Linked DNA regions of Oreochromis niloticus. The protein of the gene in region 3 purifies or fractionates together with the protein of the main gene of each other region. This does not show direct contact. Links are inferred from orthologs where the notes say so. Each region holds a gene or a part of one and is shown on either strand. Other genes may lie near its edges. The genes, in order: map1b, slmapa, stk3 and vapal.

Evidence for each region.
Region 1: the proteins of stk3 (region 3) and map1b purify together in Homo sapiens (affinity purification with mass spectrometry; 4 studies listed by BioGRID and IntAct, with this or other methods). This does not show direct contact. The link is inferred for Oreochromis niloticus from reciprocal best matches to the Homo sapiens genes STK3 and MAP1B.
Region 2: the proteins of stk3 (region 3) and slmapa purify together in Homo sapiens (affinity purification with western blotting; 3 studies listed by BioGRID and IntAct, with this or other methods). This does not show direct contact. The link is inferred for Oreochromis niloticus from reciprocal best matches to the Homo sapiens genes STK3 and SLMAP.
Region 4: the proteins of stk3 (region 3) and vapal purify together in Homo sapiens (affinity purification with mass spectrometry; 4 studies listed by BioGRID and IntAct, counting the BioPlex papers as one, with this or other methods). This does not show direct contact. The link is inferred for Oreochromis niloticus from reciprocal best matches to the Homo sapiens genes STK3 and VAPA.

What each region holds. Positions count from the first base shown.
Region 1 is NC_031972.2:15,701,010-15,709,174, reverse strand, and holds the start of map1b (microtubule-associated protein 1B), read right to left. Parts: upstream 3,327-8,165; 5' UTR 3,070-3,326; coding exon 2,886-3,069; intron 1,152-2,885; coding exon 1,050-1,151; intron 1-1,049. UniProt on the Homo sapiens protein: Facilitates tyrosination of alpha-tubulin in neuronal microtubules. Phosphorylated MAP1B is required for proper microtubule dynamics and plays a role in the cytoskeletal changes that accompany neuronal differentiation and neurite extension.
Region 2 is NC_031970.2:15,724,653-15,732,320, reverse strand, and holds the start of slmapa (sarcolemma associated protein a), read left to right. Parts: upstream 1-4,550; 5' UTR 4,551-5,989; coding exon 5,990-6,187; intron 6,188-7,668. UniProt on the Homo sapiens protein: Associates with the striatin-interacting phosphatase and kinase (STRIPAK) core complex, forming the extended (SIKE1:SLMAP)STRIPAK complex.
Region 3 is NC_031985.2:19,957,194-19,965,465, reverse strand, and holds the start of stk3 (serine/threonine-protein kinase 3), read right to left. Parts: upstream 3,225-8,272; 5' UTR 3,086-3,224; coding exon 3,063-3,085; intron 756-3,062; coding exon 675-755; intron 550-674; coding exon 421-549; intron 1-420. Other genes in the region: polr2k (DNA-directed RNA polymerases I, II, and III subunit RPABC4), read left to right, coding at 3,749-3,809, 5,073-5,165, 5,342-5,364; spag1a (sperm-associated antigen 1A), read left to right, coding at 7,397-7,751. UniProt on the Homo sapiens protein: Stress-activated, pro-apoptotic kinase which, following caspase-cleavage, enters the nucleus and induces chromatin condensation followed by internucleosomal DNA fragmentation.
Region 4 is NC_031982.2:24,672,045-24,679,858, reverse strand, and holds the start of vapal (VAMP (vesicle-associated membrane protein)-associated protein A, like), read left to right. Parts: upstream 1-4,238; 5' UTR 4,239-4,337; coding exon 4,338-4,395; intron 4,396-7,814. UniProt on the Homo sapiens protein: Endoplasmic reticulum (ER)-anchored protein that mediates the formation of contact sites between the ER and endosomes via interaction with FFAT motif-containing proteins such as STARD3 or WDR44.

The DNA.
Region 1 (8,165 bases), on a different chromosome or scaffold from region 3:
CAAAGCTCTCTCTTCATCCTCCTGCATTTCTCTCTGTGTGACCTTGCTTATTTATCACCCCAATCTCTCTTCAGCCTGTTCTTACTCCATTATTTCCTCTCCTCTCACCACCCCACCCGCCTGTGTCATTGTCTTTCTTTAAAAGCCCTTCTCCTCACCCTCTTGCTCCCCAAGTCCTCCCCGTTCCCCTCCCTTCTTTATTTTCATGGACAGACACCGCCACTAGGGATTCTACATTGCTAATTACTCCCAAATCAACTGTGCATCTAGTTGCAAGGCAACAGCACACTGGAGGAAATGGCAAGAGTGGAGGATGGGAACACGGGATGAAAGGGAGTGCGAAGCTGGAGTGCTGTTAAATGTCATTTCAGATGAATCCTGCCTCTCAACTGACTGCATTTCATTTCTGAGATTTGATACAGGGATATTAATGCATTAGAATCGACCTGCTGATTTAGTTTGCAGCCACATTTATCAGCTCGATCAATCTATTAAACATCTAACCACATATGAAGCTGGTCGTGTTCAATGTGGAGCAGAAGCTTTAACTGCTGGGGACTGTCAAGGCCATGTTGCCTACTGATAGACCACATGTCCTGCCACACTGAATGTGTTTCATCTTCATACAGACTCATTCACTTTGCAAATGACACAAAGGTAAAAGTGCCTTGTAAGAAAATGCTGACAGGTTCTATCCTGTGGTAGGTAATAAAGCTTACGTGTTTAGTATACCACGAGGAAGATATAGCTGACTTAGATGTAATGATGGACACTGCTGAGAAATGCAGCTATGAAACTGTAAATACTCATGTACTGTGCTTCACAACATATTTTATGACAGGGGTAGATCGTGATTGAAATAAATTAAAATAAAAAGGGGGTCTTCTATATAGTGATTGTTTTTACTTTTAATACATTAAGCGTATTATTTCTCACACGACTGCAAAAGCGTATGTCTTTGGTTTCTGTTTACGACACAATGGAAGCTGTTAGAAAAATCTCAAGACATTAATCGGTGTGAAATGTTGTGGCTTAAATTTCCAGTTTACCTCTGACATCTGCAGAGAAGCGAGCCGAGTGTCTGGACACAAACAGCTTGAGTTCCTGGTCCAGGTTGCAGTCAATTAAGTTGGCGTCCCACGAGCGGATCCCTGCAACACAAGCACACAAGCACAAACAAAACTGAAAAGTCACCTTCCCTCGTGAATTCTCTTCCTAAAATTTACAGGAAAATCTTGGCACGAACAAGGATTGACTTTTAATTTGGCAAGAGGAATGAAATCTATAATAGGAAATATCTATATCCCTGTTTCTGTTTGGCCACGGTGCCAGACACAGGGACGACCTCTGTTGTGCTGACTCATTGCGGTGTCATCCTCTCTATAATTTTGCAAAGCCAAGGCCTAATGAAGGCTTCCGTGAAGTTATTTGATAGCAGCAGTGAATCAGTGTTACTCTGAGGTGAACAACAGACGATGGGCTGAAAACACTTATTTTAGCAACAGGGCCTAAACTTTAAAAAATAAATGAGAGCATAAGTTAAAATGAGAAACACCATTAAATAAGATTTTTTTTAAATTCAAAGACACTATGAAGGGGACAGCATAAATGTATGTATTGAATTTTTTTCCCACCCAAGGTCAAGTGTAAACTTGACAATACACACACACACACACACACACACACACACACAGAGACAGAGAGAGAGAGAGAGAGAGAGATGATTGCGGCCCCAACAGAATCATGTCAAAAGTAAACTCTTATTTTTTTTAATTAAAACAAAATTATTTAATCATTTTTTGTTTGGTACATCTCTATACAGCATCAGCAGATTTAACGTTTAACAAAGAGCCACACCTACTCTGTGCTTTTACTCTGATAGTGCATGGAAAATCTAGAAGTGAGCAGGGTATAGATAATATGAACCCATCTTAATTTTACGCCCACGCAGATACTGCGCCATTGTACCCCTCCTTACAAACAGTGCACTATGGCCAGTGAGGCAGGCCTCTACCGCAGCTGTAGCCTTTCTAAAAACGCCCCGCTTCACTTTGAAGATGGGTCCTCCTGGCTTTCCGTAGGGACCGCAGTGCGGACCGAGCCACGCCCACAAGCCGGTGTGTGGGATGAGAGAGAAAGCTGGATGCAGGAGGGTAGTGATGGAGAAATATTGCCACGGGGATGAAGGGGGAAATTCGTTGATTGCAATTCAAGGACGCGTACTGTAGCAGTCTCGAAACGCAAACTGTCAACTTCACGACACAAACCGAGAGAAAACTCGTTTCCTCCTTCAGGCCGTGAACTGTGACACAAAAGCAAGGTGCTGCGAGAGACCCTCAGAGACGCGATTCGCTTCACTGCACTGACGCACAATCCGAGCTGGATGCTGAATCATTGCTCGTCAGCTTCATAACAGGACCAGGTCCACGTGTGTTGTGGCTGGCAACAACTGAACCCACTGATATTATGTGACAGAAAAGAAATGATACAGAACTGCCCCTGAACGCGGTTGATGGTGGGTAAAATACCCGAGGGCGAAGATGTAGTGATTATTTTCCTCTAGCTCACAGTGATGTTACTGGGAGGGGCTGACAGACAGCCCCACCGCAGTCTACTTCAAACAGCTGCCCAACAAATAACACTCAGATTGTGTTCATTACTCGTTGACACGCGTAATTCCTCACCACCGTGCACAAAGCAAAGCACTGCAAATAACTACAGCTCCAAAAAAAATAAAAAATTAAATTTTTTTAAAAAAAAACCCGCACAGATTATGGGACTTTATGCTGCCAAACTTCCAGTCTGTCCGTCTCCGTTCCAGTTGTTTTGAACACGTCAAGCGGAGCTCTCTGGCCTACACCCCCTTTCACAAAGCCCCATCTTACCTTTCTCTATGTCCGCAATGGCACACTTCAGATGCTCCTCCGTTACGATCTCTCCGATAACAACCAGCAGGTAGAATTTGCTGTCATTAAAGTGCTGCGAGGGGCTCGAGGATGTCAGCGACGCCCCGGTGTTGCTCTGGCCGCCTAAAGTCTCCATGTCTGCAGATTCTACCAGGGTTGCCATCCTCTCCTGCTGTCTATCTTCTCTTTTTTACGCCCCCGCTCTGTCGCTGTCTCTCGTTCGCGGATCCCAGCCTCCTCCCTTTATTCGCTGCAGAGCTTTGGAGTGGTCTCCAGACATGCAAGTGCAACCTTGATAGGAGTGGCCCTTGCTTTTTATACCAGCAGACACAGTGTCACATTCGGTAACCGGGGAGAGACGAGGGCGCCGGAGTTTTTTTTCGCATACTCACTCCACAGCTGATGTCATCCGCAACGAATCAAACGCATCCGGAAGTCACTGAGATTTTATGCTTTTCATTGTTTCCATCGGTGCTGGACTCCTCACTACTTGTTATTCCTGTTAAAAAATACTTAGAGCACTGATGTTTCACCCCTCTGAGTTCAGTTTCTGATGTTAGGTTGTAGTAAACGAGTTGTAGTTCTGTTAGCGCAGTGAAAATCTTTATAGACCATTCTGATGTGCTTTTTGAGATTCAGTTTTTAAACAGACTTTTTATTTACTTTAAACCGAGATTTCATTTTTTTAGTCATTTAATTATTTTTTATTTAATTATTATATATTTTACATGCAAAAACTATGATATTCAAAGAGAATGAATGCAAATTGCAAGGGCTGTACTCAAAGATCAGGGCAGAAAACCCCTGAGAGATTGACTGAAGCCATGGTAGCTATCCTTCTATCCTCCCATCCATCCATCCATGCATTTTGATAACCACTTCACTTTATGATTGCTGGGGAGACTGTCACTGGGTGAGAGGTGTAGTACACACCAACAGGTCGGCAGTCTGTTGCAGGGCTAAGTATTATATGTCCAGACACATCAAATCACTTCAAACAAAAAAAAAAAGTGTTTGGCATCTAATCCTACAAATATCCTTTATACATCTGTTCACGGTCCCTCTTTGATCTCCCATAGAGTCTAATGAAAAGTTTCAAGGGAGTCACTCGAGGAAAATTCTTTGATTCTTGGAATCTTACATCTCACAAAACACAAGTCTTCATGTGAAAGCAGTATCAGATATTAGGGTGGGTTAAGTCAGAAAACTACTAACAGAAAGCAAATGAAAAGAGTTGAGATCACAGGATTCCAGTCTGTCATATTTTCTTTGCAAGTGTGTGTGTGTGTGTGTGTGTGTGTGGTGTGTCTAGACATTAAATGCAGTTGACAGTGAATAATAAACAGTTCTGTCTTTTAATATGAACATAAAAGATGCTCTGTTTCCCCAGGAGAATAATCCTGCTTGCTAAACTTTGGCCTCTGTGAACGCAAACAACTTTAAAACTACATTTGAGCATTGCAAGGAAAAAATGAGACAGAAAAGGAGCTGTAGACCAAAAAACGAGTCAGACAGATACACATATACATGTGCGCACATATCCTGACTTTCATTCTGGATTTCCCTCTGGCAAGCCTAATGGGGCCACTGCAGGTGTGTTATTGACTTAAAAATGCTACCAGGGGCAGGAATCCACTCAGCAGCTCCTGGATGTGAATATTTCAGAGGCTTTGTGGCGTGGTGGGTTGGGTTTGGTTCTATTCTCCAAATGCCATTGGAGGTCATATCAAACATTCATCATACACAGCTGGGAAAGAAGGATGCCATTAAAAATACAACACGGTGCCCCCAGAAGTCTCCCAGATACAGACAAGGACGAAATGGATGTGTGTGTGTGTGTGTGTGTGTGTGTGTGTGTGTGTGGATTGAGGGGGATGGTGATGAATAGAGAGCCAATGGCAATTTGATAGACAGGAATGTATGATTGGTGTGTGTGTGTGTGTGTGTGTGTGTGTGTGTGTGTGTGTGTGTGTGTGTGTGTGTGTGTGTGTGTATGTACAAGCCATTAAAAAATGTAAAAATGAACATTGAAAGATTTGAATGATTTAAAACCCAAGTACTCACATGAGTCTTACAAAAGCCCCATTTTGTTGGATGTTACTTAAAAAAAATAAGTGAAATAAGCTGTTGAATTCACTGGAAACCAAAGAAATGTATTCTGGAAAGGAACAAAAGATGCATACAGTGGCTATCAGACAACAGAGGGTGGTGTAGGTTTTATCAAACTTACCAGCTTCCAGCCATTTATACTGCATGTTTCTTTCATATTGTTACTTATCTGGTTTTGAAATTTGGTCTGTTAAATGTTACATAATTTTATAGCTTTTTAAAACAAGTCACCTGCTTAATCAGAATACTTTATTAATCCCAAAGGAAATTATGTGGTTACAGTGGCTCCAAGACAATAAGAACAGTAACAGACTGAAATCAATTAAATAACACAATTTTATTCATCACATATACAAATAAAATTTGAACTGTTGTATTATTTAATTGATTTCAGTCTGTTACTGTTCTTATTGTCTTGGAGCCACTCTAACCACATAATTTCCTTTGGGATTAATCAAGTACATTGCAAAGTTACTAAATTTAATTTACTCTAACATATAAAAATAGCTTAATTATAAATATCCATAATATTGCAAAATAGATATGTATGACTGACATTTTACTCTAAACTGTAAAACTTTGTTATTTTCATTGTAGAGCATGTGCAAAAGGGTGTAACTATTTCACTGTGTGCTGTGCATTAGATGGAGGAGTTCTACAGGGAGAGAGCCACAGGCAGGAAAGATTTCCCTGTTGTTCAGTGGTGCAGTTGTGTAATCTCAGTGTCTCACTGAACGTGCTCCTGTGACCGGCCAGCATGTCACGGAGTGGGTGGGAGGTGTTGTCCAGCATTGTCCTTATCTTGGACAACATCCGCCTCTCTGACACCACCTTGAGGGAGTCCAGCTCCATCCCTACAACATTACTGGCCTTGTGGATCAGTTTATTGAGTCTATTGGCATCTGCGACCCTCAGCCTGCTGCCCCAGCATGCAACAACATAGACGATACCACTGGCCACAACAGACTCAGAAAATCCTGAACATTGTCCGATAGATGTAAAAAGACCTCAGTTACCTCAGAAATGCAGACGACTCTGCACCTTCCTATAGACTATGTTTTTTTTTTATCCAGTCCAGTTTATTATCTCTGTTTACTCCGAGGTATTTATGGAGCACCTGCTTAGCTAGTCAGACAGCATACTAATGCTAAGCTAGCTAAGAACCTAGTGCAAGCTGAGAGAATGCTGACCCCAGCCCAGCAGCCAGACCCTGAACTTCAACGGGTGACAAATTGAGGCACAGCCAGGCTGCAGCCTCTGTTTCTACCTTTTCATGTTTCTAAAGCAGAATCACTGTGGCCATCGCTTTAAACTCTCTTTGTGCTGATTTTCATTCTTTCTTTGCACTTTCAGCTTTCTGGTCATACATAAATACTATGAAAAAGATCATATGTGTGTTTTCATTCGGATAGGGATTTGTGTTGGTCTGTGGGACTGTAGCCCCGGGTTTACATTGTTAAATGGCAATTAGTAGACAGTGTGTTTCAGCTATTTTATAGAGTAACATGAAAGTAATGTAATGAGCAGTATTATAAATTACCTTATCTTTCAAGTAATAAAGTAACACACTAAATTACTTTAAAGAAAAATCTTCTGTGTGATATTTATAATAATTACTTTTTGAGTAACACATATAATTTAACTTTATATAGCACTCTTCACAGGATAAAAACCACAAAGTGCTTCACAATAATATAAAACAGATAAACATAAAACAACACAATCAAACATATCAAACAGCACAAATCAACCACAATAGTGATCACAACAAAGAGGAGAACACTCTTCTAAAATTTGTTTAAAAAGAACACAGAAAACAACATGAATATATACAAAATACAGTACCTTTCCCTTGAAAGTAAATACTGCCCAGTGAATGAGCTATCTTGGTGGAGGTTTGCGCTGTAGGAGTGCTTCATATATTTTTTCTTCTACTTTGCATTTGATACAGTTTGATCACTTAATTCTATTAAGGAAATTTTTTCCATCTCACTCTGCCAGCTTTTGTGTCAACCAAAAGTCCATTTTTGTTTCTCTTTATTTTCCACTTTAAATATATTACTGGGGCACATATTTAGTAACTATTTTCTATGCTGATGATGCACAATATCTCTTTACTATGAAACCAGGTAGCACTGAAACTCAAAATCAAGCTGCATTTATACTTCTATTATATGGCCAGTGGTTTCTGCCAGAGAAGTTCTTATATCTCACTCTTCTACCAGCAATCGAGACGTACTGTATTAATTTCATTCTGAGGCACTAAATGACTTAGCTGACCTTCATGAAACACAGTAAATGAAAGGTTATCAGCTGCGGTCATGCCATTTTCCTGTTTTCTTTTGGTCCTAGTAAATGGCAAGAACAGTAGTCTAATAAGACACACTAACAGACTAAATTGGGTATATGTTTAAAAAAGCAACAACTTAAAAATACACATTGAAAAAAAAATGTGTGCCAGAAGGAAATATTTCTAGCTCTGTTCCACAAAGAAATGAACAGGAAGCAAAATCTGTTCGGACTGAATTAAATTCAAAGTTCAGATTGTTCATATTCAAATACAAAATAAATAAAATAGACTGAAAAAAGTCACCATTAAATCTTTCAAAGCTGCTGTTAAAACACTGTAAAAGCCCTATATTTGGTGATGAAACACAGAAGATTTCCCTCTATCAGTGGTACCTTAATTATAAATGTAAAGCTTGAAACACAGAAAATATGGCTAAATGTCCTTTATTTGGCACGCCGCCTTTTGTCAGTTTGTCTGTCTCTGAAGTGACATATAGAGTCTGTTGGGTATCAGTATTACAGGTTGACAGCAATACAGCCAGGCCGGTACGATCATAATTATTATGTTGTTTTGTTTTCATTAAAGTGTTTACTATGTTCTCTACTTTGTTAGCTTACAAAGCTGTTAAACCCTTCTGAGCACGATGTCGTTCTGATGACAGTGTGAGATTTAGGAAGGGAATTTTTTATTGAGAGCGGCACAGAAAAATCCATAATCCAGTACTTTTAGTTAATTTATGTCACAGCACCCTTTTTGATTAAAAAAAAGAAGGTAACATCGGCTTCATTATACTTTACCTGAATAAAACAGAACCTTCATTAATATTTTTCTAGCACTTGCTTTAACTCCAGTTAAATATG
Region 2 (7,668 bases), on a different chromosome or scaffold from region 3:
CTGAGCTTCAGCTTCGGTGACATCTAAGCCCCACTCTTGTATTTTTGTTAAGAGTTCCTCGGTTGAAAGTGAACAGAGCACACCAGGACTTGCAAGTTCTAATCCATCTCCGTCCGTTGATAAAACAAAAATGGCACCTGCTGCATTTACAGAAAGTTCTAGAATCCACCAGCTATTCGTTGAGTTTCTTCTTCTACTTTTTGTTTGATGTTGTGAGGATGGGCTCAACTCGCACTCAGAGTTCAATAAGGGTGCTTTTTTGCAATTCATCCAAATAGTTATACTTTAAAAAAAAATCACTCTTAAAAAAAATGTTTAAATGCATTTTTACTTTTTTTCTTTCAAATAAATTCATTGTTCTTAAAGCAGCTTAAAAATAAGGGGGGTTCAGGGAATACAAAAACAACAACAGCAATGAAAATAATAAAAAATAAAATAAAAACACTAAAATATATGCTTAAATCAATACAGTTGCAAATAAATTACTGTCAAAAAGAATTAAAAAAAAAAAACCTCTAATCAAAAAGAGCTTAATCAACCTGTACTTTATCTTTTGAAAGAATGGGTACAAATAAGTACTTTTCACAATTAAGGAACATGTATGTACCTTTCAGACGCTAAAAAAGGTACAGACAGTTACCCCGAGGTCCAATATTTGTCCTTAGACTGTATTAATGTCATTTTTGTACCTTGGGGCACAGTAATGTACCCCTTCCGTACCCCTATTTCTGACTGTGTAAAGTAATGCAAATTTAAACCAATTCATACTAAATGACTTATATATTGTGTTTGGTTTTAAATATTCCTGCATTTTATATCTTGAGCCACAGAAAACCGTATTTGATCTGTCACTAAATAAATGTAAATGTACATTGCTTTTTTACATACTTTATTGTCATATGTTTAGCTTTTTAACACAATTATTCTTTTTTCGTATTTTATTATGATTTCGGGGTTTTTTTTTCATAAATAAAGTATATGTTATCCCATGAAAAAAACAAAACGAAACAAAACAAAAAAACTGTGCATACTAAAGAGCTAAGTTATCAACTAAACAGAAAATAAATCAATTAAAAAATCCAAAGTCCAAGTGAGACCTTTTTGGGGATGTTCAAATATCACATGGTACAAGCATGTAAGTTATAATGAATGTAATAGTTTCTTATGTTTTTATACATTCTTATGTTTTTGTATACAGTTTCAAATGTAAAATATTCACATTGATAACCTGACATTAGTGATAATACATTCAATATCCAAAACACTTTCCATCGATAGATAATGAAATGCAATGAAAGAGATCTGGGAGCACACAAACCCCAACATTTATCAGATCACTAAAGAGTGTTGTAATTAAACTAAGATGTAATGGAGTTCAGCTTCTAAGGCTTTGTATCCCACAAACAGCCTCTGTTAAATGGACATAGTGATGTCAAACTGGGCTAAGAAGCTAAACACAGTAAGATGCTGTTAAATCTCATATAATAGTCAGACTGTTAGCACAGTGACAGCTGGTGCCCTGCTCTCTGTGCAGGAGGGCTGGGCAATGCAGCAGGGACCACGATGGGGTCTATCCCACAACCAAAACCTGCACCAGGAACACTTTACCGGGAAACTCCAAAACTTTAAAATGAAAACCTATAACAAGGGTATCAAATACAAGGCAGAGGAGCCAGAATTGGGCCGCTACAGTCCCTGATCTGGCCCACTGGATGGCTTTGGAAAATGTGAAGTAAGGCATACATTTTGGACTGCGCTGTATTTTAATAAATTTAACTTTTTGTCTTGCTGATAAACCTCTCCCATGGCCATTCATATTGCACCAAAGTATTTGCTGTATTTGTGCAATCTCTGTTAGTTTATAGTATATGTATAGTCTTTGTTACTTAATTATAATCCAAATCCAATTTGGGATCTGGACTTTATTATACTATCTGTAATTAAGTAACAGACAAAATTAAATAACAGAAAATGTCCTGTTTTTTTTACTATCAGCTATAGAAATTATGTTCTTTCCGTAAAGAACAGAACCTTTCTGTTTTACAGCACAGTCTGGGGAATGATCTACCCACAGTTTAAAATGACTTTAATATCACTGTCCTATAAGGTCTGATGTTTACATCGCAGGAGTCTGTCAGTCACTCAGTCCTTATCTCGTCCTTCACTCTGGTATATTTGGAACAGCCTAATGATCAGTCTGATCCCAAAGTGAATCCTGTTTCAATCCTCTGCCCTCTTAGACCTACTGAGATCTCAAGCAACAGTACAAGGTCTTATTCCCAGAAACATGCCCTTTTCTTGTGATGAACTAATTTACTGGCTTACATAGCTCAACATATGTTTTTCTTGCTGGGATTTGTTGTGAAGATTGATTCCCCGTGCATCTTCTTACAGTTTAGTAATATGAACGAGGCCAAACTAAACAGCCATGCAAGAATTTAAATATTCTGATCTCATCAAACCTACTCAGTCTTGGACATTTAGAGGAAAAGAGGCTGAAATGCTTTACATCTTCAACCTCTTTAGGCCCTTGCTCTTCTCCATACACTTTGGAAGTAGGTGAATGTGGAATGCACTGAATATTTCTCACTTTTGAAAAATTAGGGTCAGAGTGTAAGGAGTTGATAACTCTGTCTGACACCAGGCTGCTTTTCGGGTTTCTTGTTTTGAGGAAGTCATTTGCTTTAATGTGCATGTGGCCCTTTAAATGGTTCAGATATGTTTCTGATCATGCTGGAAGGTTTCTGCATGTTTCGTTACAGCTCTGCTGTATTATTGAGGCTGATTGAAAACAAGGACTAGCAACAATGGCTTGAGGTTAGTTAGGAAAGCAACAACTCAATAAACTCTGAGAAAAAGTTTAAATACTGCAAATAAGTTCCTTCATTTTAAAGGAATATTAAAAAAATGCCTGTGACCTCTTGACTAACTTAATATGAATGAGAACAGCACCAAACCTGTCTGTCTCTTTCAAGAAAAGTGTTTTTTCCCCCCAAAACTGATGAAACAACAACATTCCCAGTCTTAAAAGTTAGTGTTCAAACTGTTCAATTAAATTTTTAGCTCTTCTTTTCTCAGTAAAGTGTGTAGACTGAAGCCTGGTCACAGTTCAGCTGCTAGAAGCAACAATTATATTTTTTATACTTCCTTATAACCAACAAAAAAAATTGATGTGGAAAATTCCAAACACTTATGGAGAGTAATTATGAATACTTTAGTCACATGCCCTATAAATTATGGCTGAATCTAAGAAGAAACAGCAAAGCTTTGCTTTGTTTTTATCTGCTTTACAGTCTCATCCACCATCGATTTAGTCTCAGCTGTCTGTTCACCAGAGCACCACAGGGACATTTCTGGGGCCAGAAGCAGAATTTGATCTCCTGTAAAACCACCCCCAACCTGCTGTCCTACCCCTAAACTGCATTGCTAGGATAACGCCCATCTGATGCAAACTGAAAAATACTGCTCTGATTAATAAACTGCAGGTGATGAGAATCAAAAAGGTACTTGAAAAGAAACCAGATGATTTTTTTTAAGCAAAGTAGATAAAAATCTGTTCTGTTTTTCCTTTCTAGGTTATACCATTTATTAGGACTTCCATATTTCTTAAGGAATTAATATATTCAGGCCTGTGTAACGGACAATGAAAAACAACAAAAAACAAGAAGAAAAGTTCTGAAAAAGAGACTGAACAATAATCCAGTTTCCATATTTAACACAAAGCAGTCCATGTTCTTGAAATAAAAAAATCCACTCCAGTAAAACAGGGAAACCACAGCAAACAATAATAAAACAAAACAAAACAACAAAACAGAGAAATTGTGTGGTTTACAAAAAGCAGCTTTTCTCAAAGATCCATATTCTAAACAAAATTCAGCCCTTTTGCCTTTCAGGATACCGTTTCATGGAAGATTTGACATCATTTGTTTTATCTTGTGTTTAAGGTTTGGTTTATGAGGGTTTTTTTCACCAAAACAATGCTTCTAGCTTTTATGTTAGCTTATATATTTGTGTTCTCCTGTATATAAACTAAGTAGAAATAGATTTGGGTCTATAGTAGAATTTCTTATGAAATAATTTCCTCACACGTCCCTTTGAGCTCTGAGGGAGTTAGCTACATTTGTATTTGTGTGTTAGTCTGAGGTATTTTCACTGTCTGGGTGGTTTCTAGTCCTCCAATCTTTGCGCAATACGTTTGGATTTTCATGTGAACTCTTGTAAAGATGATGTAATCAGATTATAGGATTTTTGTATAAAGTAATTTTCTTTATCATCATTATTTGAAGAAGTGTTTGTACGTGAAATATGTTGATGTGCTTTAATACCAACTTTGTAACACCTTACCCGTATGTACTTTTTTTTTACATTTAAAAAAGTGCTTATAATTTTATCGTCAGTGTTAATCACGTGGTTATTATTTTTTTTAATAATTCATAATTCTGTATGTATCTATGTATTTATCTATTAAGCTCATTACTTTTTCCGAGTCTGACTTAGTGAGCTCAGCAGTGGGTGGTGCTCATGTCACCTGGTCAGTGAATGCATCCCTCCGGCTGTCTATCGTTCAGTGAACGCACCACCGCTGTCTGCTCTCTAGTTACAGTATGGCGGCTGGGACTTGCGGAGGAGGACAACTTCTTCTAGATTCCTTCCACAAAACTGTTGGAAGGCGACGGCATTAATATAAAACTTATAGCGGCAACCACGAGGTACACTGCAACAGACGACAGCGGCATAACTTGTGTTTCTTACTGGGGCTTTCCCCAGAAAATAATCGGACTGGTGTGTGATGCGTGAGGACCCGCAGTCAAGAAACTCCCCTGATTTTTCCGCGTCGGTTTCTGCTCTGACTGTCAGTTAGCCGGCTAGCTGCTAGGTAGCTCCCTTCAATGCTAACGCTCGCCTGCAGAGCTCTGTGTTAGCAAAAAGAAGCGCTAGCGTGTTGCTTTTATTTACTCCAGGTGACAGGGATGGTATATCGTATCCATTTGGTAAGCGGACTGGTTGAAAAAGATGGGGAGAAAAAATTTGTGGACCTGGACGATAACTTTGTCAGTACTCATTAGCCTAGCCTAGCTTAGCCTAGCTTTCTGGTACAACGCCAGAAGAGAGTTAGCGCTTCGCCTGTCCACCAGCGAGTTAGCCAATTAGCATTTCAGTTGCACAAGACGACCAGATAATCCCCCCCTGTTCATCCCGGTGGATGGTTTTGAAACGTCTCCGCTGACTAATTCAGACGAAGAGTGGGCACTGAGCTGCTTTAGTTTTATAACTCAGGGGTGTTTTGGCGTTCAGGCTCGCTAGGTGTTCTCTGGTAGAGGGAGTGGTGAAGGTAGGGAGATAGGAAGGTAGCTAAGGTTCCCTGCATCAGGGCAACAAGGTCACTCAGATTATGACGAGCCATACATGTCAACTACACTTATAGATGACACTTTAGTAAACGACAGACGCGTGTGTGTTTGTGTGTATAGGGTGATGAACGCTGGGGTGTGTGCCTGCTGTTAGCTTGCTGCAAGAGAAGACAACACAGCTCAGAAGCGCGCAATAATTGGACCTACTGCTCTTGATAGGCGTTAAACAGACAGTTTAGTCAGCACAGAAGGAGTTTGATGGACGTGAGGGGCTGTCAGTGCTATACTCACTCATGTATGTCTTGACACATGGCAGCTTGGTCTGTACATAGTGCCTGCTGTCACATATAAGCGTCGTTATGTAGCTTCGGTGGGCAGTCAGTGAGGGGAATGTCCTGTCTTTTTTTTTATACCTGTTGGTTTGTTTTTTATTTCTCACACATGAGAGAGGACCATGTTTACTAGTTAGTGCCTAGAAGATTAGAGGACTAACGTTTTAGCCTACAGATAGGCCGCAGATATTGTAGATTATTACTATTTTTTTGGGAGGAGGGACTGCACCAGAAAAACCTGCCACTCTGGATCAAGAAAACTTGCCCCTCGTCTCTGGTTGGAGTAATACTCTCAAGCCAAAATCAATGCCTTCAGCGCTGGCAATATTCGCCTGCCGACCCAACTCGCACCCATTCCAGGAGCGGCATGTGTACCTGGATGAGCCCGTCAAGATCGGCAGGTCGGTGGCTCGGTGCCGGCCAGCCCAGAACAACGCCACCTTCGACTGCAAGGTGCTGTCCAGGAATCACGCTCTGGTGTGGTTTGACCACAAGACTGGCAAGGTAAGCGGCAACAGCACTGAAAATGACCTCCTATTGCTTTACTTTGGTGTTTATGTGGGCCTACAGTAGATGGATACTTTACTTCATGTCTTCTTGTGGGTTGGCCATATAAAGAGAACCACCAGTGAGAAATATCACCTCATTGGTTTGCATCTTTAAATAGACAGGAATAAAAGGCCTATAAAGAGGAATTTTGCAATGTTAGCTGCTCATCTTGTTTACTTATATTTTCCATGGATGATCCCAATTAGCTCACAACCTTTCTTTTACTGTGTAAATAAGGTTATTACCTAAGAGCTTAAAATATAGCAGGAGATCCAACTTATTCCAAACTGAATCATGGTAACCCTTACATCAACTTGGATTAATTTAATATGCCTTATAATTGTGACTTGAAGATTTATAAATAATGTTTACCTTCATGGCACAAGGGAGCAGATTTTAATACAGCTATCATTATTAATACTAATAATGATTGCTCTGCTGTGGATTTAACAGGCTGCTGTTCAAAGTTTGAAATGTATCAGCAGGTTGTGGGATGAAATGAAGAAGCAATGTTAACAACGTTAACACTGGCATAATCTGTGTCACTCTTGTCAGTTATGCTGATGGATTTGTTTGTGTCACTATGAACTGTGGGGAAGCATTGTCTCTTTAGTAATAAAGAAAGTAGTGAAGCACTTTTTTTTTTTTTTAAGTGTTTAGAGCAGGGGTGGGCAATTGATTTTTCCCAAGGTGGCCACGTGAGAAACTGTGACACTTGTGGAGGGCCACACCAATAAGCTGAACTCAGTTCTGCTCAGTTTTCTCTTCTTTTTCTCACGTGAGCCCTCGAGAAAATGTATTTCCCCCCACAGTTTAGAGAGTTCAACCAGCACTTCTTATTGCTTCCTTGTCATTTCTGTTAGGAACCTCCATAAGAACAGCTGATGCTGTGACTGTAGTCAGGGCTTTTTCTGGCTCATAATAAACTTTTAAGGGAGTGGGGCACTAAGCAGGATTACTGAGTGTGTAGTTGAGGTAGGGAGGCTTACTTAACAAATGTGTGCATTTTCCTGATATTGCCCAGCTTGCCTAGCAAATTAAATATGGCTTTAAAACCACTTAATTGATAACTCTTTGTTCTGTGGACTGATGCACCTGAAAGATTTTGGAGAAAATCTTCACACGCTTACACATGTTTTTAAATTTATTTAAGTAGTTGACTTAATCTGCTATCTAAAATTACATAATTGGAAAGGATCAGGATCTACAGATGCACCAGTTGCAATTTTCTTCAATTTTAACTGATAGCATATACCCACTCTGCTTCAATGCAAAGTTTTACTTTCATAATAAAATAAATTATTAAACTTAAGAATTTTCCCGCAAACTGCAGTACATTACAAGATCTTCTCTCATTGGAAAACTGAAAATAAAGTGCTCCGTCACTGGAAAGAGTTACAAATAATTGAATGAAAATAAGGTGCTGTACACCTACC
Region 3 (8,272 bases):
ACATGGAGTGGTTATCAAAGGAGAAGATACAGAGCAGAAGTGAGAAAAAAAATCTCATGGATCCAGACACGAGAGAGCTACATAGGCTATGATGATGATGTCATACTTCCTCCATTATTATCTCTGTAAAATGTCTTTTGAGGGTTTTCCTGGCTCAGAATGGACCTTTGAGAGGAAGCTAAGTGCAACTGGTCTGCGTACAGTTAACACTAAGAGGCTCTTATCTAATTAAACAGAACAACTGTGCACTTCCCTGTTATTTGGGGCAGCTGATAAACAAAAAATGTATTCTGAGCCTGCAAATAAACAATGATTTTCTCTCAAAACTGTTTACTGGACGCCACATTTTTCATATTGAGGAAAAACTCTGCTTTTAAGGGGAAAACTGGCGGTATGGTTAAAGACATACTGCTGTCCCACCTGTCACACTGCTGCATGATGGAGATCTCCTTGATGATTTCCTGCAGATCGGACTCCACAGGCACCTGCTTGATGGCCACCACCTGGCCGGACTCCTTATGAATGGCTTTAAACACGCTGCCATAGGAACTAGAAACACACACAAAGCTTAAAGTCACATGTACGGCCGCAGTGCTTTATTACAACTGACAGCACTTAAAAAGAGATTCATTACGCAATGGTCAGCTGTAAAAATGGAAGTTAAGACTTCTTACCCTTCACCGAGTTTCTCGAGAACATCAAACACTTCCTCTGGCTGTTTCGTCAAACTATCTTCACTCAGCTTTTTCAGCTTACTGTAAAAAGTGAATAAGACAGGAATATAAAAGTGAAAGCAATGATAAGTGGAAAAGGCAAATCTAAACATTACAAAACAGGAGACACGGCATTGTTTCAGCATTTGTAAATAAATGAACGGCTGTGGGTGATTTTTAGTCTGGACATAAATGTCAAACACACTGGGACTGCAACTTGTTATAATTTCCGTTTGTTGTAATTTAAAGATATTTTTAGGTTTGTGCATCGGTGCTTTCAAACACCACAATATGAGGTAATACTTCTTCACAGATAAAAATCAGCACCGCAGCCAAACAACAGGAATAAGTCATTATTTTACTCAGAGCAGGAATGTCATTTTAGCCAGTTAAGTTCAATGTGATCGACAAAAAATGTTATTGTGAAAGTGAAAGCACAACCCAACATGCACTGTTCACTATTTTCTGACTTGATCAAAAATATTATCACGTGCAATACAAGACTAAAGGAGGTCGTTTCTCCCTGAGCAACACTTAGTGACGCAAGCTTCAATAAGGTTCCTCAGTCTGGCTCTAGTGAATAAATCAAACACAATGAATCAAAAGATTCAATCATTTAAAAATGATCCTACATGAGCTCTGACAAAGACACAAACAGATTGTGTGTTTTTTTCCCCATTATAAGGGTATTTCAATACTACCTCTTAGAAAAGCTTGTGCTATATGAAGCTGGAAAGGCCCTCACATCCTGCTGTTCCTGTTAATTTCCACTAAGCAGAACAGAAACGTTTAAGTATTGTGTCCTCAAAGTCTTTCAGAGAAGCCTTTCACTGACTGTGAGAAGAGCTGAAAATATTGCTGTTTTTCCTTGAATCCAAAATAAAAAACTTATTCAGTCTGAATTTCACATAGTGTTTTATAATTATATGTTTTTGGTAATTTACTTCAATATCTATTATTATATTTATGATGATGATGATGATTATTATTATCATCATCACTTATTTTGTTCAAATATTTATTTTTGGAGACTCATTCTTTAATTTCATTGTATATTTATTAATGTTATAGTAAACTTTTAAGCAATTTTTACTCTATATTTATTTTGTCTTTATATTACGCAATTTTATTTTTGTCAATGATTTCCAAAGCAGTTCTAATTTCTTTTGATTTTGTTATTATTCATTTTTTAAAATATTTTACTATTCTAAAAATCTTTCCTACCAAATTCTGTCAACCTAAATGTTTAATAATATTACTTTATTATTATTATTATTTCATCATCCTTTATAGTGTTGTAATAAAAGGGGTGCTCATATATGGAATAAATAAATATTTCTCATCTCAAGATGAACATGTGTGATCTCATAGTTTAAAAATAGTACAGCAATCATACAAAGACTTCAGATCTGTCGCCTTGTGGTTAAAAAGCTCTTCGGTAAAATTAACTTGCGTTGTCTTTTTTTTGAGCCTGTGAACTCGTGAACCACCACAGCACAGAAACCAACTAAGTAATCAGTAACGTGTAATACTGGTTTGTCTTCAGGAGTTGTGCCAAAAAATACCGTGTCCGGTATTTAAACAGTTCTAAATGAATGCCTATGACCTATCAAACATACCTCTCTCTTATGAATGATTTCAAGTCACTTTGAGCAAGCAGTAGAAGCTGCATTTAGTTTTTGGCAAAGTGACTTTTATATATCTTTTATTTATTTGGATAAAAAGTGTTATTGACATTCAAAACGTCTTTTTTCCAATAGAGATTGCGCAAACAGGCAAGCCAAAACATGGAGGACCTTTAACTTTTACAAGGACATTTTAAGTGGCTAAGAAAGTCAATAACAATAACGCAGACCCATAAAGAGAGATCACGTCTTTATTATATATATATACACATATATATAAAAACCCCTTCATAAATCCTAATAACTAAAGCCTGTTTACAAATACTTTCAACAATATTAGACATAAAAAGATACACAGAAACAATGCAATTCATTTTTTGGAGGACACTCGGGAAACTAGAGGCTGATTCAGTTAACATGCGACTGAATGATATTTAAAGTGCAAATCAAACCACTGAACAAAACACTCTTACAGAAACTTGGGAACACAAAACGACCACATCATTAGCCAAATCTATTAGAAACTCAATTGAGGGCTCAAGAAAGAGCGTCTCTGTGTGAGGAACGATCTGTACATCCGTGAACAGAACTGAAAGTTTGAGAGAAGACTGTCAACGCTAAGTTAGCTTAGCATCAGCGAGCTCGGCGACATCCACCGCCTACGTTAGCTGTTCGGCTAGCTCGATAATAATAGCATTTTTAGCGCAGTTAAAATAACACAAACCTTTTGGGCGCAGACGTCTCCATGATGTACGACTTCAAAACTAAAAAGAAAACAGACTAATAGGGACTCGTGGCACTTTTGGGACCAGCAGTCAGGGCGAGAACATTGTCGACTGAGTCGTTGTTGTCAAAAACTAAAGCAGCGCCAGCTGAGGGCTCGTCGGATGACGGTGTTACGGCCTCACCGCAGCGCCCCCTGCTGGAGCGGAGTACAAACAAAACGGCTAAAAAATACTCTCCTTAGAAACAGCGAATAATTTGTATCTATTAAACAACTGAGACTTGTGAATAAAATGTTACTGATAATAGAGCTGTCCACAAAATACAACTATGCTTTCCTGGTCTCATTCAAAGACATCGTCCGACCAATCACAAGCGACTTTGCTGTGAGGTGAACGACTGTTCTACGCATGTGCAGGCAGGAGCCTTGTGGAGTATGAAAAGAGAGGTAAACAGCTAGCAGCTATCGTGTTTAAACGGTGAGAAACCTTGTTGTTGTCTTTCCATCCTGTGTACTTCATATCTGTTAGGTTTATGCAGCGTTTTTAGATACTTTAAAGATATTTGTTGTTTGCTCTAAATACCATATGGGTTGTTTTAGTCTGTTTCGGGCAATACCATGCTGTTTCTGTTAGCATGTTGTTAACAGTTATATCTCTGTCTCTATTTTTTTGTTAAGAATCAGAAATGGATACGCAGAAAGATCTACAGCCGCCCAAGCAGCAGCCTATGATCTACATATGTGGAGGTATATTACAACTTTTACTTTAATAATACACCCGCGGGTAATGCAAACAGTACGATCTTACCTGCTCTAATGCAAACCTTTCATCACTGCCATCACGGCTGCTTCTCCTCTGGATGTTTTTTTTTTTTACATTACACCGCAGAGACCTTAAATATTGTTCATATTGTGTTCCGTCGTAGTAACAATTCTCTCATAATAAGTTAACAAATAATAAACTACAGCTAAATTTAGATTCTAAAACTAGCCTGTCCGACATTAATAAATTAAGGATTAATCCGTAATTAATGCTTCAGAGATAACTGAGAGTGTATTTTTTCAGGTATTACAGCACTAGTTTTTAGAGAAAACCATCTATCACACTATATCATGTCCTGTTTTGCCTAACACATGAAAATGTACATTATAGAAAATTCGCATAACTACCGTCTATAATTATAAATATGAGTTCAGTATTAGTACTAAATAACACTTGGAGCACAAGGTCTGCCTATTGTAAACCGGTCTGTGCATTCAAAGCTGTGATACCTGGCATGTGTGGGATTTCCATTCACTGAAATTACATCTCAGGTGCCTTTATAGCCTCATGACCCCTACCCCTTTTCTAATCTCTGTTTTAATCATAGTTAGCTTGGAATAAGATAATTTTATTGTTCTGTATGTATGTATGATTTTTTTTTTTTTTTTTTTTTTACCTTGTGGGTATTTGTGCTTCCAGGTGCAAAACACAAGTACTAACTGAGAGTTACATGATGTTCTTGTGTTTGAATAGTGTTTTTACTACTTAATCCACCTTGGTGGAGACCTCTGGATGACATAACATACACATTAGGCTCACTAAATGTTTACAGTGGGAAATGTTAAACCTCCTTCACAGTCTGATACATTGTTACTATTTTGGAACCAATAACACATATTTCACCATGATTACGTAATGTTGGTCATCTTGCATCTGGAAAAGGAACCACCCTGATTTTAGTACTAACAAGTTTTGTGGCAAGTGTAAAAACTCAGTAACAATCTGAATGAACTGAAATGAATACACCTTACACATTATGGACTAAAATATTGGGCCACACCTCTTTGAATTCAGAGGCGTGCGCTAAGTGAAAAAAAGTTACCAACACTCTGCTGACTCAGTAGCTGCAGAGGTCCAAACCTTCTCTGTCATTAACATCAGCAGAAAAACTATGTGCTGCCCGCTGCTCTGCTCTGCTCAAACTGCACTTGAACACATAACACCATGATTTCTCTCATCACTTGCAGAATGTCACACCGAGAACGAAATCAAAGCCCGCGATCCGATCAGATGCAGAGAGTGTGGCTACAGGATCATGTACAAGAAGAGAACAAAGAGATGTATCCTTTTGACATTGTGTGCATGAAGACAACTTGTGAAAACATTAAAAATGACCAACTGACAGTTAATTTCAGACATGAATCTTTATGCTAAAGAGTGTTCAGATATTTTGTTTTTGATTGATATTTTTTGGTTGCTACGTTTGCTGTGGATTTCCTTGACTCTCTGATTTCAGTGGTTGTATTCGATGCCCGATGAAGAAGAGGAGAGGAGCAGTTTTGACTCTGTTTACTGTTTGTAGTGTGGGATCATGTAAATAAATAGACCTGGCTTCAGATTTGTGAACTACTCATTTTATTCTCCGTCTAAACAATACATTTGCTTGTCAAAGATGTATGAAAGTTTGTTTTGGTTTATTAAAAAATAAGTATTTTAATTGGTCGTGACTGTTTTTCCAGTTTTTCTAACTGATGAGCCGATTTAATTGGTAGCATCTCCATGACGACAGGAAAATATGTGTTTCAGCTCTTGTAGACTTTTCTATATTCATGTAGTCACGTGTAATTGGTCTGTTGCTATGAGATGTTTGCAGCTTTTCGACCCCTGAAATGAAGTCTGCCTTTCAGAATAATAAAATGCAGCAGGGGGAAGTAACCTGATTTTGTGTAATGCAAACTGGTTTGGGGCCTTTTTCATAGTAATAAAGATTAAATGACACTTCGATGTTTTCTTCCCCTCACCCCCAAAGGTGATTTTAATGACTTTGACTGTGGGATAATTGTTGGTACCAGACTGGCTGATCTACGAGGATTTTCCCACAGCCATCTCCCAAAAAGAGAAAATATCCAGTGAGCGGCAGTTCTTTTGGGGAAATTGCATCATTGATGCCAGGGAGGATTGGACAGAGTGTTTTGAGGTGATTTAAAAAAAGAAAGAAAGAAAAAGGCAACAGTAACTCAAATGACAACTGCTTACAAGCAAGGTATTCGGAAGAGCGTATCTGAATGCACAATGTAAACAAAAGACCGCATTGGGTCCCTCAGTTTCCTGTCCACAAAGAGCAGGAAACATACTGGCTCACCAAAATTGCACAATAGAAGAAGAATTAAAGAGTTAAGGCAACTCTGATTGCAAAAGGGGGACCAACCCAGTACAAGCAAGGTGTACTTAAGTGTCCATTGAGTGTATTTTTGATCTAAAACAGCAATATGATAGCTTTAACTTCTTTAAATTACACGGTCTCCCCAAGTTTAGCTTTAAGTTGATTTAAATCTAAATCAGTTTTTTTTAGTGCATTTAGTCCCTTAATATCTGCATGGCAACTTTTTAGTTTGGCTTAGCACAAAGATTTCAAACTGTTGCACTCTCTCTACTCAAAGGTGCAAAAATCCTCATACCAGCACGTCTACGTCTCACTGGTTTAATTTGTACAAATGTTGAAAATCTGTGACAGATTCTTCTGACTTACTTGCTGCTGGGCAGCTGGAGGAGACTCCAGCAGTGTCTTTGTTTTTTGTACACATTACACAAGTAAGACACAACAAATAATAGATAATAATAAAAAACTAAAATTATGTGTAAAACATTTGTGTGAACCTGTGATTTGATGCAATTACATGCCAAAATGTCGACCAATAGAAAATAATCCTAATGAAATTTCCCGGTGCTGAACAGAGAGCTGCTTCCAGCTAAGATGCTGCTGAGAGAGTTATGAAAAACGTGTTCTCATCAACAAAGTAATTACTTTGCTGAACTACCCTTTAGGTGACAAACAGGACTGGATTCAATGATTGTTTTCATTACTGGACTGGATTTTCCATCTACAAAATGTAATTTTACATGATTAATAATCTGTTTGTTTGCTGTTGATCAGATTTGCAGCTCACTCCAATTATCCTAAGAATAATTAATCATCTATATCTTTCCACTGTGTCAAAATGTTGCCTGTCAGTTACTTCTCCTCCAATAATACAGCGTAAATCACGTATAATCGAAATTATAATATTTTTTTTCTTAAAATTTGATGAATTAAAGCATTAAAGTGTCTCGCATGTGTGTGTCTGGTCCAGGCTTCCTCTGCTCTGAAGTCTAAACTGAGGCTCTCCCTTCAGAGCTGTCCTACTGCAGCACTGCATCGCTGTGGCACTCCCCCCTCCCCCTCGCTGACATCACATCTGACGCCTCATGTCGGGGGTGTGTCCAGCAGAAATCCCCATCCAGGCTCAGATGTAGCTGCGGCTCTGAGAGAGGGAGAGGCAGAGTTTGAGCACACTGCAGAGGGAGTGCAGCTATGGGGAACGCGCAGGAGAAACCTCCGGGCGGCGGAGGAGGGGCAGCGAGCGCGGATCAGGCCACAGCAGGGAGTGGGACGAGGAGCCGGGGTGGAAGCAGCGGGGGAAAGCCTCACATGGCTCCAGAGAAGGGAACGGTCAATGGCACTCAGAGAGAAAACAGCCCTGCTGGTGGGCAAGAGAAGAAGGAGGACAGCCCTGCAGTGGACACAAGTTACCTGGATGCTCCCGCCGGGGCCCTGCCTCCTCACCTGGCCCGGCTCAAGAATGAAGGGAACCATCTCTTCAAACACGGACAGTTTGGAGACGCATTGGAGAAGTACACCCAGGCCATTGAGGGGTGTGCTGAAGCAGGTGGGGGGTGACATGAGCGGCTTCTTTTCTCTTACACAGCATGTGATCCTGGGATAAACAAATCTGATTATAGCAACGATACTATAGCATAGTTAGAGGAGCTTCATCTAACTGCTAATTTCGTGATTAATTAATTAAACTATGTATAGTTTTAGAAAATTACAGTAATTTTGCTACCAGAAAGTTATTTCTTGTTTATTTTCCTCATTTGATTTCTTGGAGTAGCTTTTCCAGCTCTGTGACTCAGTGTAGAGTCGCCAAAAACAGCAGATGGGTGTCACAGAGCCTGACAGAAACCCTCTCGTAGCATCTGTGACTTAGCCCTGGTAAGGGTATCACATACAAGTTGACTCAGTGTCACCTGGTTCCACAATCCAACGTATCCCGTGTCAGTTATGAATGCATTATACCACCGTTTCTCCAGTCAGCCTGCAGGATGACTTCAGGTCACTTTTTAGCATGAAACAGAGACATGAGGCGTCTCTGCACTGGTGATTTGTGATTGCAGTGGAGTGTTGGCA
Region 4 (7,814 bases), on a different chromosome or scaffold from region 3:
CTCTGACTTTAAAATTGAGCACAAATTAAAAACAAGCGGAGCTGACGTGTTTTATAAAGACAGGAATTTGATAGTTGTTTTCAAGACTCTCCTTCTCTGTAGACTATCATAGCACTGTGGCTCTTAAACACATTGAAGTTCTTAATATCAATTTTTAGCAAGTCTAACTCCTCCACCCATGAAGCATTTGTGCACATGTGCCCCATTTAATTAAGAGGTCGTTAAGAACAAACTTAGACGAGCATTTATCTCTGTAGCTCAAATGCGACGGCTTTACATTCCTCACGTGTTTTTCACGCACATTTGCTTTAGAAAGGTTTTAACTGTAGTGCTGCAGTGGGAACAGCTTGAATCGCAATTACAGCATGACACCCCCAGCTGAAACACTGTGACCAATGCTAGAACTGTTTACATAGTGATTTGTTAAAGATGTTTTCTACATGCTGAAGTGTATTGAGATTTCATTGCAGGGAACGACTGTATACAGCTGCCAATCGTGTTTTTGTTTTTCCGTGCATTTTACCTGAAAAAGGGGTCACATTTGTATTGTTGATAATAGACAAGAACTGCATGTATTTGACTTTAAACATGTGTACAGCTGTTATATTGCATATACTAACCAAACTCTAAAGGAACTGTGGGAGCGCAGCCCTAACTGTTTATCATGTTCATCATGCTCACAGCACCACTTTGCATATTAACACAGTATCAGCTGGGAGTTGCTTTAATAGTAAAAATGTTAACTATTGCAATTCTCCTTAACTTCAGCATACAGTAGAAATTATTTGAAGGAACATGAAAATTACAATACTGACCAATTAGTTTTGCATTGTCATAGCTTAAAGATGTGTTTACATTTGTAGTTGAGTTAGTTATTTACATTATAACGTGTACAGTTTTTATCAACAGGTATGATGGGATAATAGAATCAAATTTTGACTTTGTAATGCCATAAATGTAATGATATTTACCGCCCTATATATGGGAAATTATACCAGCCTTCATTCAGAAATCTTCTAGTCTGTGTGGCCTTGCTTATCTGAAAAACATACGGTGCATACCTTTAGGTATATGACGCAGTTTTTTAGCTCAGAGGTTAATTTGTAGCAAATGTGGGGCATGGGACTACAATCTTCCACTAAACTGTACCACACAGTAATTGGCTTAAGATGAAAACTGAAATGAACTTAAGAGCTTCTTAGCGCCAGATGTAAACAATGTTATATCAGCTGGAAGAGTTATGATTGAAAACAACCTAAATACAGTGCAGAATGGATTTCTCAGTTCACGTTGTTCAGACCCCCTTTGTGAGTTGAGATTCCCAGCAATTGTTGCTACACAAGTGCCTTTTGTATGTTTTTCTAAACAAAATGTATGACATGGCTAAAATGTGCATACTGTTAGAATTAATTACTCGTGTCTGAACAAATATATACATAACACTGCCATTCCTTTACAGTCACACTCATACTGTATGCTGTGGTCATGCTTCTCTGTTTACTCTGTAGACCAGATTAACATCTGTATATTAATCAATGTAATAAAGAAGTAAACATTCAATTTCTCTTCAAATTTTACTCTTTCCAATAATGAAATACTGAAGTGTCATCAAAGATCTCAAACACTGTCAAAGGATTACAAACTAAGCTGATGTCTGTACAGGTTCTCAGTCATCCAGTAATCTAGAGAGGTTGAAAACAAAGAGGCAACTGAACTGATGATATTTCATCTATCAATCATCCAGGAGCCTTCTTCAGTTGTAAAAGTAAAAGGGGGTGAATCCCGCTCATTGTCTAAGAAACTCTGGAGAATTTTAGCCAACAAGCTTGACATCCCAGAATACTTCAGACCCAGCGACACACTTGACAAAAGCTGGTTCATCCCAAAGACAAAACTCCCAAACACAAGCTAAGTATCATTATGTTCTCACTGGAGAAAACAAACAGCTATTCCATAAACGCATGGCACAGTGTAGAAGAGCCACCTCGACAGGACAAGACTGAGCTGCACATCTGCATCTAAAGGATAAAGGCCACTCTTTGGAGGATGCCAGAGTTCAAACTTTAGACTGAGAAGACAGACGGTTTGAAAGAGGAGTAAAACAGGCCATCTGTGTCCACTGATGTGAATGATCATCATTGAACAGTGGCTTATGACACCAACGAGGTCTCGTAGTACTTTCACTTTTAACCCCCCTTAAGGTGTTGGTAATGACCCACAGCTGTCCTTTTTAGAACTGAACAAGCCTCTTTTTTCAAGATCTCTAGACTTTTAAGTTTTGATAATAAGTAAATGAGTGAGGAAGATGCAGTCACTGAAAGAGGGTTGTATCATGACATTAAGATCTTGACATTGTGAAAACAGTCTATGCAGCCTCATTTAAACCACCTCATACTGGAGTTATATGGAAATGACTGAACAATATACTGGTAAGGAAGGTATATTATGGAAGAACAAATGTCTGGCTTTTGGCTAAAGAAACGATATCACTATGAAACAACCTTTTATCTTTAACAGCAAGAAATGGTCATTATTTCTGAACATGCACAAGCGTGACACTCTGAACTGCTTTAAACACCTCAAACCATATGTAGACTGTGTCCTATTCAGTACAGCTTACTGAGGAGAAGTCCTCAATTCCCATAAAAACGATGGATCGCAGTTGTCAATGGTCTCTAAGATAGCAAGCCAGATATTAATAGTTCACAATGAGTACACACACTGCACAAAATCCCTGGATTCCTCGCAAATAGCATCTTAAATTCCCCCTTTTAGCATTCCCCTTTTCATCTACGCTCACATGATGGCCCAAAATGTGTTGAGTTTTGTCTCTCGAATAAAAAGTGTTTTTTTTCTCTTTTAGAAAGAGTTCTCCTAGGCCAGTTGGTGTTTTTCTGCACTGACTTCAGTATTAATTAAAAAAGAAACAGCTGAAGGAAGATTTTCAAACTACAGTAGTTAGGTTAGTTGGTCAGTGACAGTGACTGGATTTTAAAAAATTATCTTAGAGCAGCAAAGTTCTGAGAAGTAAAGATGGGTAGAAGGTCACCAGTCTGCGTTCAAGCAGCACTGCATCAAAAAAAAGTCATGATTCTGTCATGGAAATCACTGAGTGGGCTCAGGAACACTTCCAGAAATCACTGTCTGGGAATTAATGCTTGTGTAACTGGGAGCTTGTGTAACACCTTTTTCCAGGTGGAAAAGCAATCATCACTGCTGAAAGGTATATACACTTTTTAGAGCAACATAAAGCTCCCATCCAGATGACGTCCTCTTTCAGGAAAAGCTTTGCATATTTCAGACTATGCTAATCTGATTACTGCCTTAGTAGGAGAAGAGTCCAGGTGCTGACCTGGCCTGCCTGTATATCAGACTTTTCACCCATGGAAAGCATTATGAGCATAATGAAATGAAAAGTAAAAACAAAGAAGAAGACCTGGAATTTTTGAGCAGCTAGAGTCGTATATCAGACAACAACCAGGCGACATTCCTCTCCCTAAAGTCCACCAACTGGTCTCCCCAGTTCCCAGAGGGATACAACTGTTGTTAAAAATAGTGGTTAAAATCATGGGGTTATAAGATCTCCAAATCTAAAATAGCCTAATGTTTTAGGAACTGAGGTTGTGCAGGGATTGACTGATATCCCGAATCATGAAACTTTGCACTGATGGAAAAAAATCACTTCTGTGAAAATAAGATACTACTAAGGGACTACCGGTTTAGTAATCTGTGGTTTAGTTTGAATGTACCCATTGTTTACGTCGTAAACAAGCAGGTTTAAAGGCTGACCAGTTTTTGGCACAACACCGGTACTGTTACCAGGGCAACGTGTGACCCGTGCTACACAGCAACCTCAACATGTCCTTTAAATCACAAACAACACTTACATTTACGTTACATGTACGTTCACTAATACTTCTAACAGGTTTAACTAGACTATTGCAGAGTGAATTTAATGTGCATGTACAGTATATTGCAGACACGCGATTATGAGACTTCCTTGATTAAAATTCTCGATTAAATCAATAAAGCACAATTTAACTTGGTACCGGTCACGTCGGGATTTTATAAGATTATTTTATAACATGTTTTTCCTTCCCTGTACGTCTATCTCAGTGTCCACACATTATAACTCGTTTACTGTACCATAATCGCATCAGTTGCCAGACCACGAGTGCGCGCAACAGAGGGCTGTGCACTCGCGCGTTCAAGTATTTGTACCCACATGCTCGCTGAGCTCAGTCAGCGTTTGACTCAGTAGAGGCAGAAGGGATCCAGGATTTCCACTTGTCAGTTAACTCCACGATACCGAAATCAAGTGCATCCCTTCAGCCAACATGTCAAAGTTGGATCAGATCCTTATCCTCGACCCTCCGTCTGACCTCAGATTTAAAGGTATGTGAATGAACTATTATTTATTTATTTATTTAGTTGTTGCCGTGTAAAATGTCCAGCGAGTAGTAGTAGTAGTAGTAGTGGTGGTGAAGCAATGATTTCACACTCCCTCAAGCGAATTTCGTGCTAGCAAGCTAGCTAGCATTCACCGCCATTTTAAGTTAGCCAGGGAGCCGGACGGGCCGCTGCAGCCCGGCGCTATAGTGACGTGGATAGCCGGGCAGGCGTGCGCCCAGGTGGCCTGCTATTCAGTACCAGCTTACTGACAGTACCAGGCAAAGAGCTGGAAGGATGTGGCTGTCAGTGACTGCTTAAAAAAAGGAGAGTTAAAGTCTACACGTTAAGAAGCATGTTTGTGTATGTCTTCACATTTAATATCAGCTACTATGCTGTTGCTAGTTGTGTTAGCAGGAGTAAACTGTTGTTTCTTGGGGCTTAGGCTATTCCCTGGAAAGAAATTAATTTCAGAATGAAAAATCCGGCGTTCATCTTGATACACCTGTGGCAGGAACTTGTGAAGCCAGTAAAGTGGCTGACAGTTGGAATGACAAACTTGGTTAGCTAACGTGAACTGTAACAGCATGTATAGTTTATTTATTTTTTTTAATAGCAACACCGGGCTAACATTAGTTCAGTTGATCTAAACCTATTAGCTAAATGTTGGCTAATTTTAAGCGTGTGTTCGCATCCTGGACAAAACAGGACGGCACATTCATGGGAAAGCAGGGTGCTTCACGTATTCGGTTGGCACTGATTGCTTTTCCTGGTAGTGATAACGTCCAGTGATGTGTCAGTTAACCGTTGGCTAATGATAGCATTGGCTAGCCTGCTAATGCCAAAGTTGATGTGTAGTTGTATAACCGTATTGTTTTGCGTCTGACAGACCTGAAGAGACCAAAAATCACATTTTTTAAAAGTCATAGATAGAACATAACTTTTGGTCATTTGTGAGTCCAACTGTTGCTCTTGTGGTCAAGTGAATGAAGTGGCAGTAAACGGCGCTGATTTCAATGAAGCTAGCCCTACCAGGCCATGGGTGACACAACAATCTCCACAGTTGGACTATTTATCCTCATCATTATTCATTTTGACCCAGAAATCCGCACAGCACTTCTCGTATTTGTCCCAGTTACCAAGCTCTGTGTCTGCTGGAGGCATTTTTGCGAACTAGACAGTTATTTCTCTTTCTGTTGAATGTACCACTGTCCTGGACGAGGTTATAAGAGGACACTGGTGTTGGGACAAGGTGTGAATTGATACTGGTTGTAGCCTGACAGGATCGTTAGGAAGGACACAAGCTCACATTCCAGACCCACTGTGTCTTTGGGTGGGGTGTAATAATTTGAATGTTTTGGTGATGAGGTGTCCAGGGTGAAACTAAAATTATTATTATTTTGCCTGTATTATTTTGCCTGACGGTGACACAAGTAGAATAAAGGCAACCCCCCCCCAAAAAAACCCTCATGTTAAAACTGAAACTCATAAAATTTGTGTACATTGATTAAAATCCGGGAATGTTTTTATCATGCAAGGTGCAACAGAAAGTGTGATGGTGAATGGAGCCTTTTCCAGCAGGCTGACATTGTAATTGGACAGGGATAAGGATGTAAATCAGTAAAAACTTGCTCTGGCTTAAGTTTAAAGACATCTGGAAAAGGGTAGTAACCATTTGATTAAACTCACATTTGTTATGTCATAATAACAGCATCAATCAACAGGTTAATGGTGCTATTATGATAAAATTCTTCAATCATATTGTTGGAAAGCCACCAATAGTGTTATTTGTCTCAGACAGGTTGTTTTTTTGGGAGCAACAAGGTAAACCAGAATACATAAATGAAATTTTCTCCAGCTGAACGTTAAAATTTCATGGGTATTTAGCCTGATGGTAGACACATGGTTCGTCATAATCTGATCATGGACCTCTACTTTTTTTTACCCGATTAAGAAATTCTACTCTAATTTGACTTATTCCTGTTACTGATCAGTCACACGGTTTACATTTTCCCTCATCAGATTAAACTTTTGGCCTTTTATATTCTGGATTGGATGCAAAGCTAAATTGCATTAGTATGATGCTGTTCATACTGATCATTGTTTACTGATCATCATTGATTCATTTTATTCTTTAGCACCGAGGCCAAAATGTCTAATCCACTGCACATGTAAGAAAATCCCAATTCGTGGGTCATAAACCCCATTCTAACAATTTGATATAAAATGTAATTTATAATGAAAATATGTTTGTCCTTGCAGTAGAACCTGCAAGCATATTGTATGTTGTATATCAGGGTTTTGGTTGTATCAAAATAGTCCTTTTGTAGGGACTGCATATGTTTATGACTCTGTATTACTTAACAAAAGAATTCAGGTATAGTGGCCCATTTGCTTTCATAAAAACCAGAGTTTTGTCATATTTTTAACCGGTCATGTTTAAAGACTCAAGTCTGAATACGGGTTAAGCCCTTTGGCCACTTAACCTGTTATTGAACCAGCATCATATTAAATCTTACATTGGGGGGGAAAAACAACTAATCCCAAGTACTAAATCCCCAAAGAATCCATCGCTTAACTTTGGGAGCTGTGTGTGACCCCCCCCTTTGTTTTTTTTTTTTTTTTTTTTACATTTTTGTATGGCCCACATTTAAGTGGCTTCAGTTTTTCATGTCAAGAAGCAATCTGAGGAGAAGGAAGATGACCACAACTTCTTTACTGTCACAGAGACAGAGCTAAATCGGTCTGCATGTATCGAAGAGCTGGACTGTTTTAGAGCCTCTGCTGGGACTCCTCCAGCAAGCTAGAGGGGGCAGCCCTCCTTTCCTTGGTTGGTATTTTTAGAGCAGGACTTGCCTGAGGGACCCTAACTCAGCATACATGCAACAAGATGAGAGAGGTGCTGCTTGAGCAAAGGTAGCATCTCAGTGTTGGGCAGTGGATGCAAGCTACAGTATGTGGGTGGGATATCTGATGCACACAACTGTTTTCCAGTTTTAGGCTTTGGTGTAGTAGTGATCAGTGTGTAAAACGCATGGAAGGTAGAAATATTTTGGACTCGGTTCATTTCCAGCCTATAGAAGCAGTTACTCATCTGTGCTAGTTTTCTGTTTAGGTCTATAAAATAAAAAAGTCATGGTTTTTACCTTGTCTTTCCAGCATCATAGTGCTGAAGCTATAATAGACATTGTTTCTGGTTCTGATACTACTACAGGTAGGCTCTGTTTTGAACAACCTGGTATTGTTCTGTCAGGAAGCAAGTCATTCTTTATAACTCATCTGTGTAGCAAGAACAAAGATCCTCAAAGTACACGCCATTAACAATGAGGTTTTTCAAGTTTGTATGAAGGCATGTTGTGACTCACCTGTGATTTTTAAAAAGGAAAAAAAAAAAGCCCCAGTAGGCACACAAGTGTACATTCTGG